Linked DNA regions of Saccharomyces cerevisiae S288C. Changing the gene in region 1 together with any one later gene gives a genetic interaction. Each region holds a gene or a part of one and is shown in the gene's direction. Other genes may lie near its edges.

Region 1 (3,004 bases):
AATTTCACCATCTCCTCAATATGGGCCGCAAAGATGATCCAGTAAAAAACAATCCATCGGCAGAAGAGGAATAACAAATAAAGATAACAAAGTTTGACTACTCTTTCGTTGCAAAGTACGGTTCGACAATATTTATTATTCAATTTCTTCAATCTTGGAACCCTTCTTCGCATTTTCATTCTTGCCGTTTTCTTCGCCGTCGTTATCATCGTTATCATCAGCATCATTAGGTTCTGTTTCTCCTGCAGCCGCATTGCTTAAAGATGCCAACATATCTGATAAAGAAGCACCATGGAAATAAGAAGTGTTGCCGTCACTGTCGGAGCTGGGCCTCTGCCTTATTTGAATCCCGGCTTCTAATAGAGCCTCCAACGAAAACAAGTCAATAGGGCCAGTTCTATCCTCACCTGATAACTTTGAGGGAGTAGCACTGCTGCCTAATTCGGTATCAAGATCATCAATTTCCATGTCGTCATTATCTTTACTACGATTCAAGCGGTCTTGTAATTTTTTGGTGGTTATTGCGAACACTTCGTTATCATCATCCGAAAAATCATGGAAATCAAAAATACTTTTCCTTCTTTGGACAAAAGACGTTTGGATATTGTAATTTTTTGATCTCATACGCTCAAACCATTGTGACTCAGATTCATTTTCCTTTAGTAAAGCAACAATGGAAATACTCATATTATCACAGCCAATTCCTGAGCCTTCAGTTGTGGGTGAACAACAAACATCTACGATTCTAGATGAAATGTCGCTCAACGTCATATTACCTTGACTTATACCGTAGTGAACCAAGTCAACACACTCTTGAGAAGTTAAACAATCCCAAATACCATCACATGCTAAAATAACAAATTCATCCTCATCATAATTCAAATTGTGACAAATGATATCAGGAACACATGTAACGACTTGCTCATGAGGTCCCAATTTTGTGTTAGATTTGAATTCAAAATCACCTATGGCTCTTGATAACGCTAAATTTCCATTAACACGGTCCATCTCAACAAAACCATCAGCAGCTACAATACGAGATTTTTCACTTAACAATGTGGGCTTATGATCAAATGACATTGCTTTACTATTACCACCAGTAGATAGAACTGTTCTACTATCACCGGAATTGGCGCAAATTAGTAGCTTTTTCAATTGAGATACCAATATCACAGTTGCTGTACAACCACTATGGTCATCTTTTAATTTTTCATCTTTCAACAACTCAACATCTGTAGCTAAAAAGGTATCTATTAAGCACTGCTCTAACATACCGCTCTTGAAGCTCTCCTGTTTTTTCAGTATAGATATCATTTTAGAGCCACAAAACTCCGCTACAGAAGAACCACCATGACCGTCAAATATACCATAAAATGCGAGATGTTCCTCGTCAGACTCAGCCAAAAGGTTCGGCTCAACAATATGGGCATCTTCCATGGACATACGCCAGCCTTGCATGGCACATAGTCCAAACGCTGTCAAACAGTCCGTACCAGAATGATGCTCTTTGTCGATAATTGGATTGGACAATATTTGACCCATGTTATCTCTCTCTTTCTTCGATTTGTCTTCTTGGCCTTCTTCGTCTGCCTATAATAGAAACTTCAAAAAGTAAAATGAATATAGTCTAAAAACAGAAAGGGGCCTTCCGGTGGCAACAATCGAGCCAACAAGCTCTAAACACCTTTTACTCCTTTGAGTTTATTCTCTTGAGGGACAACCCATGTTGTTTTTTCTTCAACTCGCTGATATCACGCCTGACGAAAATAATGTTTAAAGGTTATTACTACTCTTCTAGAAGCTCTTAAGCATAAGAGCTAATTGTTTCTTGCTATATTACTTGTTGACAGCGGAGTAACATGATAACGTCTTTTTAATGGAAAAGATGACAGTTTCTTCGAATTACACCATAGCTTTATGGGCTACTTTCACCGCAATCTCCTTTGCCGTGGGTTACCAGTTGGGTACGTCGAACGCATCATCAACTAAGAAATCCTCAGCTACTTTACTGCGTTCTAAAGAAATGAAGGAAGGAAAGCTACACAATGACACTGATGAGGAGGAAAGTGAAAGCGAAGATGAGAGCGATGAGGACGAAGATATTGAGTCCACTTCATTGAATGATATACCTGGAGAAGTTAGGATGGCATTGGTGATTCGTCAAGATCTTGGCATGACAAAGGGCAAAATAGCGGCACAATGCTGTCACGCAGCATTGTCATGTTTTAGACATATTGCTACAAACCCCGCGCGTGCTTCATACAACCCAATTATGACACAAAGATGGCTAAATGCTGGACAGGCTAAAATAACGTTGAAATGTCCAGATAAGTTTACAATGGACGAGTTGTATGCGAAGGCTATATCACTTGGGGTGAATGCAGCAGTTATTCATGATGCTGGTAGAACACAGATTGCTGCGGGAAGTGCCACCGTATTGGGTTTAGGACCTGCTCCAAAAGCAGTATTGGATCAAATAACAGGTGATTTGAAATTGTATTGAGGTACAAATGATATATACTACGGGTATAGATATACGTGCATTTATATATTAAGTTGAAGTCTTTTCCCGTTTCTGTTTTTGTATATTTATGCTCATGCCCATCTTTGCACGACAACGGAGTTCAGCAGATCAGCGTCCTTCAATGTTGTCTCATCGTTGCTTATTGGTTTGATAGGAAAGGCATAATTCAAGGTGAAATTCCTCGATGGGTCAGTGTTCGCATTTGATGTCACATGCTCATACAAAAACTTTACTGTATCTGTGGAATTGCAGTGCAAAACTTCTCTTTTGCCATTTGCGTATCTAATTTGGATGGAGGTGTCGCCTTGTTTTGGCTCATTGTCCGGCATGGGTTGTTCCTGAGCAGCGGGTGTCTCATTCTTTGGAACCTCCGCAGGTGACGATTCACCCGGGATAGGAGATCCTAGTCTTTGGCCCTGGCCTGAAAAACCGCCCAGTTTTCTCGTCGGAGCTTTATAAGACTCATCTAATTTTTTATAT
Region 2 (3,433 bases), on another chromosome or scaffold:
AAATTTGGGGATAATGAGGATGCAGAATTAAATAGCAGCCAGCCAAACCACAGTATGGATGTGCCTAGAGTGACCAATGAAACATTATGAGGCCTGAAATTTATCAGTAACTTTTCATTTCTTTTGCCCAAAAACCAAGAGTAAACAAACCCGGAAACAGCGCTTAATATTTCAATGTTGCCGCCGCCTGCCCAATCGAGGACTCCCCATTGGTATGCCCAACCACCTGGTGACCAAATCCAATACGTCACTGGACAATATCCAATGGTAGCTAGAATAAAGAGAAAAACCATGTGCGGTAGCAGCCTGCCTCTTTCGGCAGTGGCGCCAGCGATAATACTTAAGTTGACGCACGAAAACATCATTTGGAAGGTTGCATACGCGAGCTCAGGGTAGGCATCTTCATCGAATTTTTTTCCGTACACGTTTCTAAAGCCAAACGAATCTAGATTCCCAATGAATTTATTATTCGGAGCGGACTTTGAAAAAGCTAGAGAGTAACCCCAGAAATACCATTGCAGTATACCGACCAAAGTCGCCATTAATACAACCCAGATTAGTGCTAGTGCAGACTTCCTTCTTGCCAATCCGGAGTACAAGAATCCCAATCCGGGCACCATAAAAAATACTAGGGCGGCACCTAATATCATGAAGGCCACAGTGGGGCCATCGTAGGTTTCAGTCGTTAAAGGCCCTGTAGTTCGACTCTCCATAGTTTCTACAGTATAAGAATCCGTACTGCAGTTATGTTTACTAAAATAATTCTCTGATCATAAGCCTAAACAAGTTACAAGAGCGCCTATATAAATAAACTACCTTTTAAGTATCTTATTCTGGAACTGCATTATCGACTGGTAAGCAGAAGGTGCTATAGAAGCCTACACCACTTTTCCGATTTTTTTTTTTTTTTTTTTTCAGGAAAAACATCTTCCATCAATACTTTGTCATTTCTTTCTTCTTCTCTTCTGTGCTTACATAGCCATAAGATGTCACACAAGGGTGTCTGTAGCAATTGTGAATCTTATCGTTATCGCAATCTCTGAGATGTCTCATCCAATAAGAGGGGCGCGTGTCCGCAGAGATAAGCAACCAGGGCCTTTTCTTTTGCACTCAGCCTGACAAAGGGAGGGGAGGCGCAAAACAAAGTTCGTGGCAAAGGACAACCGTAGAAGAGCATCGCCATGTTGATTTTGAAGAATGTCAAGACACAAGTACAAGTTATGGATGTGCATCGCAAAGGGAAAAAGGGGAGTGGGGGAAAGAAATACGTTTGTCCCTAAGTGCTCTTATGCTCCCTTTTGTGCTTCAGAGGTTCTTGATCAATTATTAAGAGGGGATAACTCTATCGTATATAACTTTTATCTTAAAAATGGTTCAGGTAGTGTTTATATAGGCTCAGTCTTTCTTATCTGAAAAAAAACAGTACGGGATTTTTTGTGCGCTCGAATAGTGCCGAACTCAATTACGGGCTGTGGTAACACTTGAGATCTTGTCTTCCCTTACAAATAGCTCTAGGGGTGTTGCATGTAGCCGCAGTAACATCTTGAAGAAGTGTACACTTTTGAGGGGACGCCATTGTGTTACGTTCTATGTATTGAATAGTATAGTTTTCAATTTTCCTGCGCTGACGTAAACCGGCTGTAAGAAAAAACGTATAATCGAGAACTGGTTATTCAAAGGTTGAACTTTAAAGTGAAAAGTAGCTCTAACAAAATAAATCATGCGTGAGAATGCAATGTCTACAAAGAAACTTCCCTATAAATTATCTGGCAGCAGCAAAATAACAACTTCCATACCTAATGATTTAATCATACTGCGAAATAATTGCATAAATTCACTGAACAGTTCCTCGTCCAAAGCTGACAGCATTACATGTATAGATACGTGGCTAAAATACACAGAGGGTTTGTTAACCCACAGGTACGAAGCTAATAATGACGCCGCTCTCATTGAAGAGGAGATAGCGATTGCGTTAATCAATGTTGCCGTATTTTATCAAGACATCGGTATTGAAACATTGTACAGAGCTTATGAATCTTCACAAGCGTCAAATAACTTATGGACAACAAGCGGGACCTATCTAAAGAGAGGTCTAGGCTTAATCTGCTTTCTTGGAAAGAATTTTCAAATAAACACAGCTAATGATTGCCAAAAGATGCAGGTTCTCAACGTCCTTAATCAGCTATCATTAGAGTTTCAATTGCTGCAACAACTAGGGATTGTCGTTTTAGCACTGTCTAAACTAAGATCAAAAATCAGCAAGGATGCTGTTGCGGACCTTGAGCCTCAAGAATTGGAAGAGCTAGGCAAGTCCAGTGTCTTTTACGCTAAGCTTTGTATTGGATCTTATAGCACTGCTTCGCAATGCCAAGGAGGCCGTATAGTGGACGCATTATTTATGAATTATTTACAGAGTTTGACCTATCTCTTCCTATCAATCAACCAATACAACAATGATGAGTGCGGAATTGCCATTGGGATGCTCCAAGAATCGATCAAAAAACTGTTAAATATAGTACCCAATTCGCAACTAAAAGAGTTGGACATTTTATCCTCAACCGATATTACAAAGAAGAGGGATCTTATAAAGATGTCGTTTAAAAGGAAAATACATGGGTCTACTTTAAAAAACCAACGGATATTTGAGAAGAAGGTGCCATTTTCATCCAAAGCGTACATGATGCCGTTATTGAAATCTTCATTAGACGATTTTGTTATCCCACTAACGATACTGTTAAGGTACAGATACCAGACAACCAATGAGAATTATTCCTTCAAAACGGTTGAAACCGACGTTTCTAAATTGAAGGAGCTTTTCCCCAGGGGAAAATCGTCAGATATTGAAGGCACTGTATGGAGTTTCCAAGATGGACATCTTACATTTGCAGACTCAAATAATGCAACCCACAATTGCGGTAATTATTTTTGAATTGAATCAAACGCCGTTCGAACGTAGAGGTCAATAGTCTATATGAATAATATTTTTAAGGTCTACTCTACTATGAATTTTGCATAAAAATATACACATGTTAGAATAAGGAAACCACTATCTACTAATCACGGCTAACCACTGCAAACAATGGCATTATTTACTAATATAATTATGTGTGTTGGAGTGAGAATCAATTATAGTCTACCGATCTGGTGCTCTTGTCAGCAGTATATTATTTTTGAGAAGAACTTTCCTTTTTTTTTTATGTATACGTAATGATCAGAATTTTTTAATAAAGATGTACTTCAAAAGCTTTTTTTAATATTCATAGTAGAATTTAGTGAATAATTTGATAATTGTTGGGCTTCCATTGTTGGTAAAGGCTATTATATTAGTTTTGGAATAAAAATTCAACTATCGTCTATCAACTAGTAGTCATACTACCAGTATATTATCATATACGGTGTTAGATGGTGACATAGGTTATGAGAAGCTGTCATC
Region 3 (2,787 bases), on another chromosome or scaffold:
GATATCAACCTAGATGAAGAGGAAGAAGCAAAATCTGTACCTCCCATTCCGGCCGATCAAGCTGCGAAGACTTTTGTCATTAAGAAAGATTGATATTAGATCAAAGCCTAAGAAAAAAACTAAAAAAAACTAAAAAAAAAAAGTCAATCGGTTCTCTTTTCTCTGACAACAATGGCAAAAGATCAAAGAGAAGCGTACGTCACGGCAAAACCAGCGACCCTTCAAAACTAAATTATTATGCATGTATATAATAGACACCCTATCTAAACTACCGCCTTATTTTTTTTTTTATACAGGAGCAAAGTGTCTTTTTTGTGATGGCCACGAGGGTCCTTTCACTCATGACTCCTTAATCAGCATCTTATGAGCTGGATTTTCATATATCGGCGATTTTTTTCATCGGTAATGCACGCAGTAAAGCTGCTCGCTCGAGAAAAATTAGTAATATATGGAAGAAGAAGCATAAGCATAAAAGAGAAAATCCGCTGCCCCACCGTAGAAAGCAAACAAGGCTATTGGTTATTCCTCTTTTCACCTGTACTTCAATCTGTAGCACATCATCATAAGAGGCTTGAAAGTTGCTCAAGAACAGTTTCAACGGTTTTTTCTTTTGAAATTTGAAAATTGCTCTTCGTTTGTTGAGCCGTTATCAAGGAAGTAAATCATCAATTAAAGAATATAGAAAGGCACAAAATTTTGTCATTTACGCACACTTTCAATGGATCATGAGACAACGAAGGTCTGTAGTAGCAGTTAGCGTAAAGCCCAAAGGCTTCAAATTGGGGCATAAACAGGGTTCCATGTCTACGACGTCTCCACCTCCATCCTCACCAGATGGAAATGTGAGTACATCAGGACCGTCAGCTATTAAGTTATCCAAGAATTGGGAGTTACCACAGCGCCTAAAACCGGGCCGCAAACCGAAATCCAAGCGCGGGGATGCATCAGCTAATAATGATGGATCGTCCAAGATAAAGAAGGTTCAAACTTCCAACCAGAAAGACCAAATGACCACAAAAGATCATGAGAACGAAGGCGCAAAAGGTCATGAGGGGAAATCTGATGATGAAGGCAACGGAAGTGGTGATGAAAACGGTGTCGATAGCGTGGAAAAGCGAAGGAGGCAAAATAGAGATGCGCAAAGAGCATATAGGGAACGCAGAACAACAAGAATCCAGGTTCTGGAAGAGAAGGTTGAGATGCTACACAATTTGGTCGATGATTGGCAAAGGAAATATAAACTGCTGGAATCTGAGTTTTCCGATACAAAGGAAAACTTGCAAAAATCAATAGCATTAAACAACGAATTGCAAAAAGCCTTGCCTTTGATTGTTAATACTCCATTTCAACAGCAGCCAGAAAACCCGCCAGACAATCCTATTTCGATATTAGAAATGGTAGAAAACTTTAAACCAATCGGCGCTGTCAGTTTAAAAAAAGGAAAGCTGAAGGCCCATTGTTAACATCTCATGTGCCCGCGGTATTAACAGACCAGTCTTTGTCTGAGATTGATATAGCCAACGATTATCAATATCTGAGCGGCAGACAGTTTAGTTCAACGAATTCATCGCTTGATGGCCATATTAATTCACCTCTGTCTTCATGCAGCAGCAGTATCAATGCATGTGCAGGCAGTGGCAACAAAAAAATAAAATGTTGTAGGAATAAAGATGCCATGAAACCAGTAACATGTTGCAACCAAAAGAATAACATAATGCCATCCTTAGTCCCCGTTTGCTGTTCAGAAAAGAAAATAGAATCCGATGCTAAGAAATCAATATCGAAATGCTGTGGAGACAAAGAAATCTACGATAGCGAGAATAGACCGATCACTAAAGAGGATGGGTCATGGATACCTGGAAGCTGCAAGCAATGTAGATCAGACCCCCATAGTAGGAATTTTTGTCAATCACTTTCGAATAAATGTAGTTCAAGCTCTTTCTCTTCCAACAGTGCGTTGTCACCGGATCTAAATGAACAACAAACTGACGTAAATTACAATTCAATCAAGCTACCCGAAATATGTTCCTGCAAGAATGCACAAATGAATGCGGCTTCCGATGCAAAGAGGTATCTGCCGATCAGTTACACATATCAAAAAATCCGTCAACATATGCAAAAAAATAAAAGTATCCAAGAACAACTAAATCCTGAGGATTCAACTTCGATCTCATCAGCGTTAGAGAACATTGCATCTGGATTGCACGTTCGTGGACAGAAAGTAGAATTGCAAAGCATCAAGGATGCATTACATAAGATGGACAAAAACGTCTTGGAATGATGTATTTAGAAAGAAAAGAAAAGTGGAAGCATAAATAGTGCATATAGATATAGGTATATATATGAATTTTTTAATAATAATATTAATGATGTTTTTTTATCTTAAGAACATTAAAAGTAAGCGGCGCTAACGGAATAATTAGAAACAATGTGGTAAAGAACGGGGGTGAAAACTCATAAAACCAAGTTATAAAGTTCTGCCAAAGCACGGAATATCAAAGGAATCTCAATAATTCCGGCAGCACCCTTTGATTTCGAGGACGATTGGCTGGACGAAGTAGCAGATGCGGCAGATTTTAGCAAGCTCGTTTCGCTAGCAGAAGGGGAGGAGGAAGATGCCTTTGAAGTCGAGGATGATGATTCAGAAGATGAAGAAGCGGAAGATGAAGATGAAGAGGAAGAAGAGGATGAAGAGGAGGTGTCGTCGTCTTCTTCGTCGTCATCGTCCTTAGCATCACAACTTTGTTGGGTGGCGATTCCGGTTCCCATAGGAGAACCTGCTCCAGA
Region 4 (3,669 bases), on another chromosome or scaffold:
AGTTTACCCAAAGATATGCACCCTATGACCCAACTTGCAATTGGTTTAGCATCAATGAACAAAGGATCCCTCTTTGCTACAAACTACCAAAAGGGCCTCATAGGAAAGATGGAATTTTGGAAAGATACTCTTGAAGATTCGCTAAATTTAATTGCTTCACTCCCGCTGCTGACTGGGAGAATTTATTCGAACATTACAAATGAGGGACACCCATTAGGTCAATATAGTGAGGAGGTGGATTGGTGTACAAACATATGTTCCCTGCTCGGCATGACAAATGGAACGAACTCTTCTAATACATGCAACCTTACTTCCCAGCAATCCCTGGACTTCATAAACTTGATGCGGTTATATACCGGTATACATGTAGACCATGAAGGTGGTAATGTTTCTGCTCACACCACCCACTTGGTTGGAAGTGCGTTGAGTGACCCGTATCTCAGCTATTCATCTGGAATAATGGGATTAGCGGGTCCTTTGCATGGGTTAGCAGCACAAGAAGTAGTAAGGTTTCTCATAGAGATGAACTCTAATATTTCCAGCATTGCACGAGAACAAGAAATCAAAGATTATCTTTGGAAAATTTTGAATTCAAACCGTGTGATCCCCGGTTATGGGCACGCAGTTTTGCGTAAACCGGATCCTCGATTTACAGCAATGCTTGAATTTGCGCAAAAGAGGCCTATTGAATTTGAGAACGACAAGAACGTTTTGTTGATGCAAAAATTGGCAGAAATAGCGCCTAAGGTTTTGTTGGAACACGGAAAGAGTAAGAATCCATTTCCCAATGTTGACTCTGCATCGGGGATTTTGTTTTATCATTATGGAATCAGGGAATTATTATTCTTTACCGTCATTTTTGGGTGTTCAAGGGCCATGGGACCCTTGACACAACTTGTTTGGGATCGCATTCTAGGTTTACCAATTGAAAGGCCCAAGAGTTTGAACTTGGAGGGTCTGGAAGCACTTACCAAAGCAAGCAATGTTAACAAGTTGTAACGCAGTTCCAATTTACAAGAATGCTTCGTTTGCTATTACAATATTGAAATATAAATAAAATTCCATACAGCATGTCTAATCATAGCTAATTTATACATATTCATCATGAAAACATATAGGGGAAAATATGGTCGGTTAACACACCTATCAAAAAATTATTCAGCAATTCCAATCTCGTTAGTAAAATATATTCTTATTTTTTTTTTTTTTCTCTGATTGTATTATTTCTGGAGTTTTGACTTATTTTTTTACCACATCGCGCTTTTCGTCCCCAATCTCTCTGATATATGATGCTGTCTATAGGTAGCCACTTCCCCGATGTCGGACCTCGGGCCGTTTACAAACTTTATTGAGATGACCTTATTTCTCCACATTCTAGTCATTCAACTTTTACCCTCATATGTTTACCTTCACTAATGTGAAAGCATGACCAAAGAAAGTGTATAAGGTATATAAATCTGCCATAATGTATGTATAACTTATTAGGACTTTCTCAAATAGTATTTTGGTATTTTCTACTGTTCTCTGATGATCGAGAGCAAACAGAATGTTTTTAGCCAAAAATCTAAAAAATAATAAAATCAAGGTATGCTTGCCTAAAAAGAAATTTGCTGCGCTGAGTACAGCGTCTATACAAACTAATGAAAGACCAAATCCAGATAAGGTTTTGAAGGACATCGCGAAATATGTCCATGAAACCCCATTAAAATCATCTTTGGCTCTAGATACAGCACGACTCTGTTTCCTTGATACTCTAGGCTGTGGCTTGGCGGCTTTGAAATTTAAGCAGGCTCAAAATATTATTAAACCAATTGTGCCAGGAACAATAGTTCCCAGTGGAACAAAAATATTGGGCACATCTTACGTTATGGATCCAGTGAAGGGAGCTTTTGCCATTGGTACTCTAATACGTTGGTTAGATTACAATGACTGCTGGTTAGCTGCCGAGTGGGGGCACCCATCAGATAACCTTGGGGGAATTTTAGCTGTCGCGGATCACTTGTCCAGATTAAACAAGGCTACCCACGGAAAGAATGGAAAACAGTTTCTTGTTAAAGACGTATTAGAGGCAATGATTAAAGCGCATGAAATCCAAGGTATTATAGCGCTCGAAAATTCTTTCAATAAAGTAGGTTTAGATCATGTGGTACTCGTGAAAGTAGCAACGGCTGGTGTTGTCTCGAAGATGCTGGGCCTGAGCCAGGAACAAACTATTGAAGCATTGTCACAAGCATTTGTAGACGGTCAATCACTGCGTACTTACCGTCATGCCCCAAATACTGGATCTAGAAAGTCGTGGGCGGCGGGAGATGCAGTTTCGAGGGCTGTAAACTTGGCTTATTTAGTCAAAAATGCTAATGTTGGCACGATACCTTCAGTATTAACAGCTAGAACCTGGGGATTTTATGACGTTTTATTTAAGGGTAAACCTTTTTCATTCCAACAAAGATCAAAATATGATTCCTACGTCATGGAAAACGTTCTGTTCAAGATATCATTTCCTGCCGAATTCCATGCGCAAACTGCTGTAGAAGCTGCTGTAAAAGCATATAGGATTCTTGCCAAACAAGGGAAAACTTTTAAAGATATTAAATCGATCAGAATTAGAACTCAAGAGGCGGCAATGAGGATTATAGATAAATCCGGTCCTCTGTATAATTATGCCGATAGGGATCATTGTATCCAGTACATGATCGCGGTTCCGCTGATTACTGGTAATCTCACAGCTACTGATTATTCGGATGAGGTCGCAAGAAATCCTGAGATCGATAACTTGAGATCGAAAATGTACTGTATCGAAGATACTCATCTCACTCAAAACTATCACGATCCTGATAAAAGGTCGATAGGAAACGCTCTTCTCATAGAGCTGAACGATGGGACGCAGTTGGATGAAATTTTTGTAGAGTACCCTGTTGGTCACAAATTTAGACGAGAGGAAGGAATACCATTACTAATGAATAAATTTCAAAGGCATCTGCGCGAACATTTTGTAGAGAGCCCTGATAAAGTCGACCTTATAATGAAGGTAAGTTCAAAAACAAACTTTTTGAATATGCAAATCGACAAATACATGGATTTGTTTACTGAGGGATGAATGGTTGGCTCTTTAAGAGCGAACGGCATGGTACCTACTTCAATTTTTAAAGACAAAAGGCGCCGTTTCGATAAACAAGAAATCACTTTCAAAACATAATTAAACCAAAGAACATGCGGTTTTCTAATTATGCTGGCTTAATTTTACTGGTATTTATCTACATAATAATAACTATTAAAAAATTAAATAATTGGCTCTATTTATTTTTCTTTCTTCAACTTGCAAGAGTTCGTCAATTCATGGAAAAATACAAAAATAGAAATGCGAATTCTGTGGATCGAACACAGGACCTCCAGATAACTTGACCGAAGTTTTTTCTTCAGTCTGGCGCTCTCCCAACTGAGCTAAATCCGCTCAATTTCTATGCTCTAACCACCTTAGCTAAAAACTCAATACAGGATTAGTTGATAAATGGGTGTTATCAACTCAATCCACAGTGTTGGAATCAGAGTCAGTTATCATCTTTGGGCTAGTATTATTGTAAGTGTTGGAATAAAAATTCTAAAATATCATCCATTTAGTAGTGTTCATATTACTAATATATCTGTTGGAATAAAAATCCACTATCGTCT

What was found.
Region 2: mutations in PTH2 (region 1) and YGR122W together harm fitness more than expected from each alone (negative genetic interaction), as found in Saccharomyces cerevisiae (one large-scale study listed by BioGRID).
Region 3: mutations in PTH2 (region 1) and YOL029C together harm fitness more than expected from each alone (negative genetic interaction), as found in Saccharomyces cerevisiae (one large-scale study listed by BioGRID).
Region 4: mutations in PTH2 (region 1) and PDH1 together harm fitness more than expected from each alone (negative genetic interaction), as found in Saccharomyces cerevisiae (one large-scale study listed by BioGRID).

What each region holds. Positions count from the first base shown.
Region 1 is NC_001134.8:112,300-115,303, reverse strand, and holds PTH2 (aminoacyl-tRNA hydrolase), read left to right. Parts: upstream 1-1,876; coding exon 1,877-2,503; downstream 2,504-3,004. Other genes in the region: type 2C protein phosphatase PTC3, read right to left, coding at 136-1,542; protein phosphatase regulator SHP1, read right to left, coding at 2,596-3,004. UniProt on the Saccharomyces cerevisiae protein: The natural substrate for this enzyme may be peptidyl-tRNAs which drop off the ribosome during protein synthesis.
Region 2 is NC_001139.9:732,215-735,647, forward strand, and holds YGR122W (uncharacterized protein), read left to right. Parts: upstream 1-1,720; coding exon 1,721-2,929; downstream 2,930-3,433. Other genes in the region: ammonium permease MEP1, read right to left, coding at 1-713; YGR121W-A (uncharacterized protein), read left to right, coding at 1,198-1,413.
Region 3 is NC_001147.6:269,309-272,095, reverse strand, and holds YOL029C (uncharacterized protein), read left to right. Parts: upstream 1-1,675; coding exon 1,676-2,281; downstream 2,282-2,787. Other genes in the region: ribosome-binding protein MDM38, read left to right, coding at 1-93; YAP7 (Yap7p), read left to right, coding at 726-1,463; GAS5 (1,3-beta-glucanosyltransferase), read right to left, coding at 2,455-2,787.
Region 4 is NC_001148.4:556,839-560,507, forward strand, and holds PDH1 (putative 2-methylcitrate dehydratase), read left to right. Parts: upstream 1-1,546; coding exon 1,547-3,097; downstream 3,098-3,669. Other genes in the region: citrate (Si)-synthase CIT3, read left to right, coding at 1-999. UniProt on the Saccharomyces cerevisiae protein: Catalyzes the stereospecific dehydration of (2S,3S)-2-methylcitrate (2-MC) to yield the cis isomer of 2-methyl-aconitate.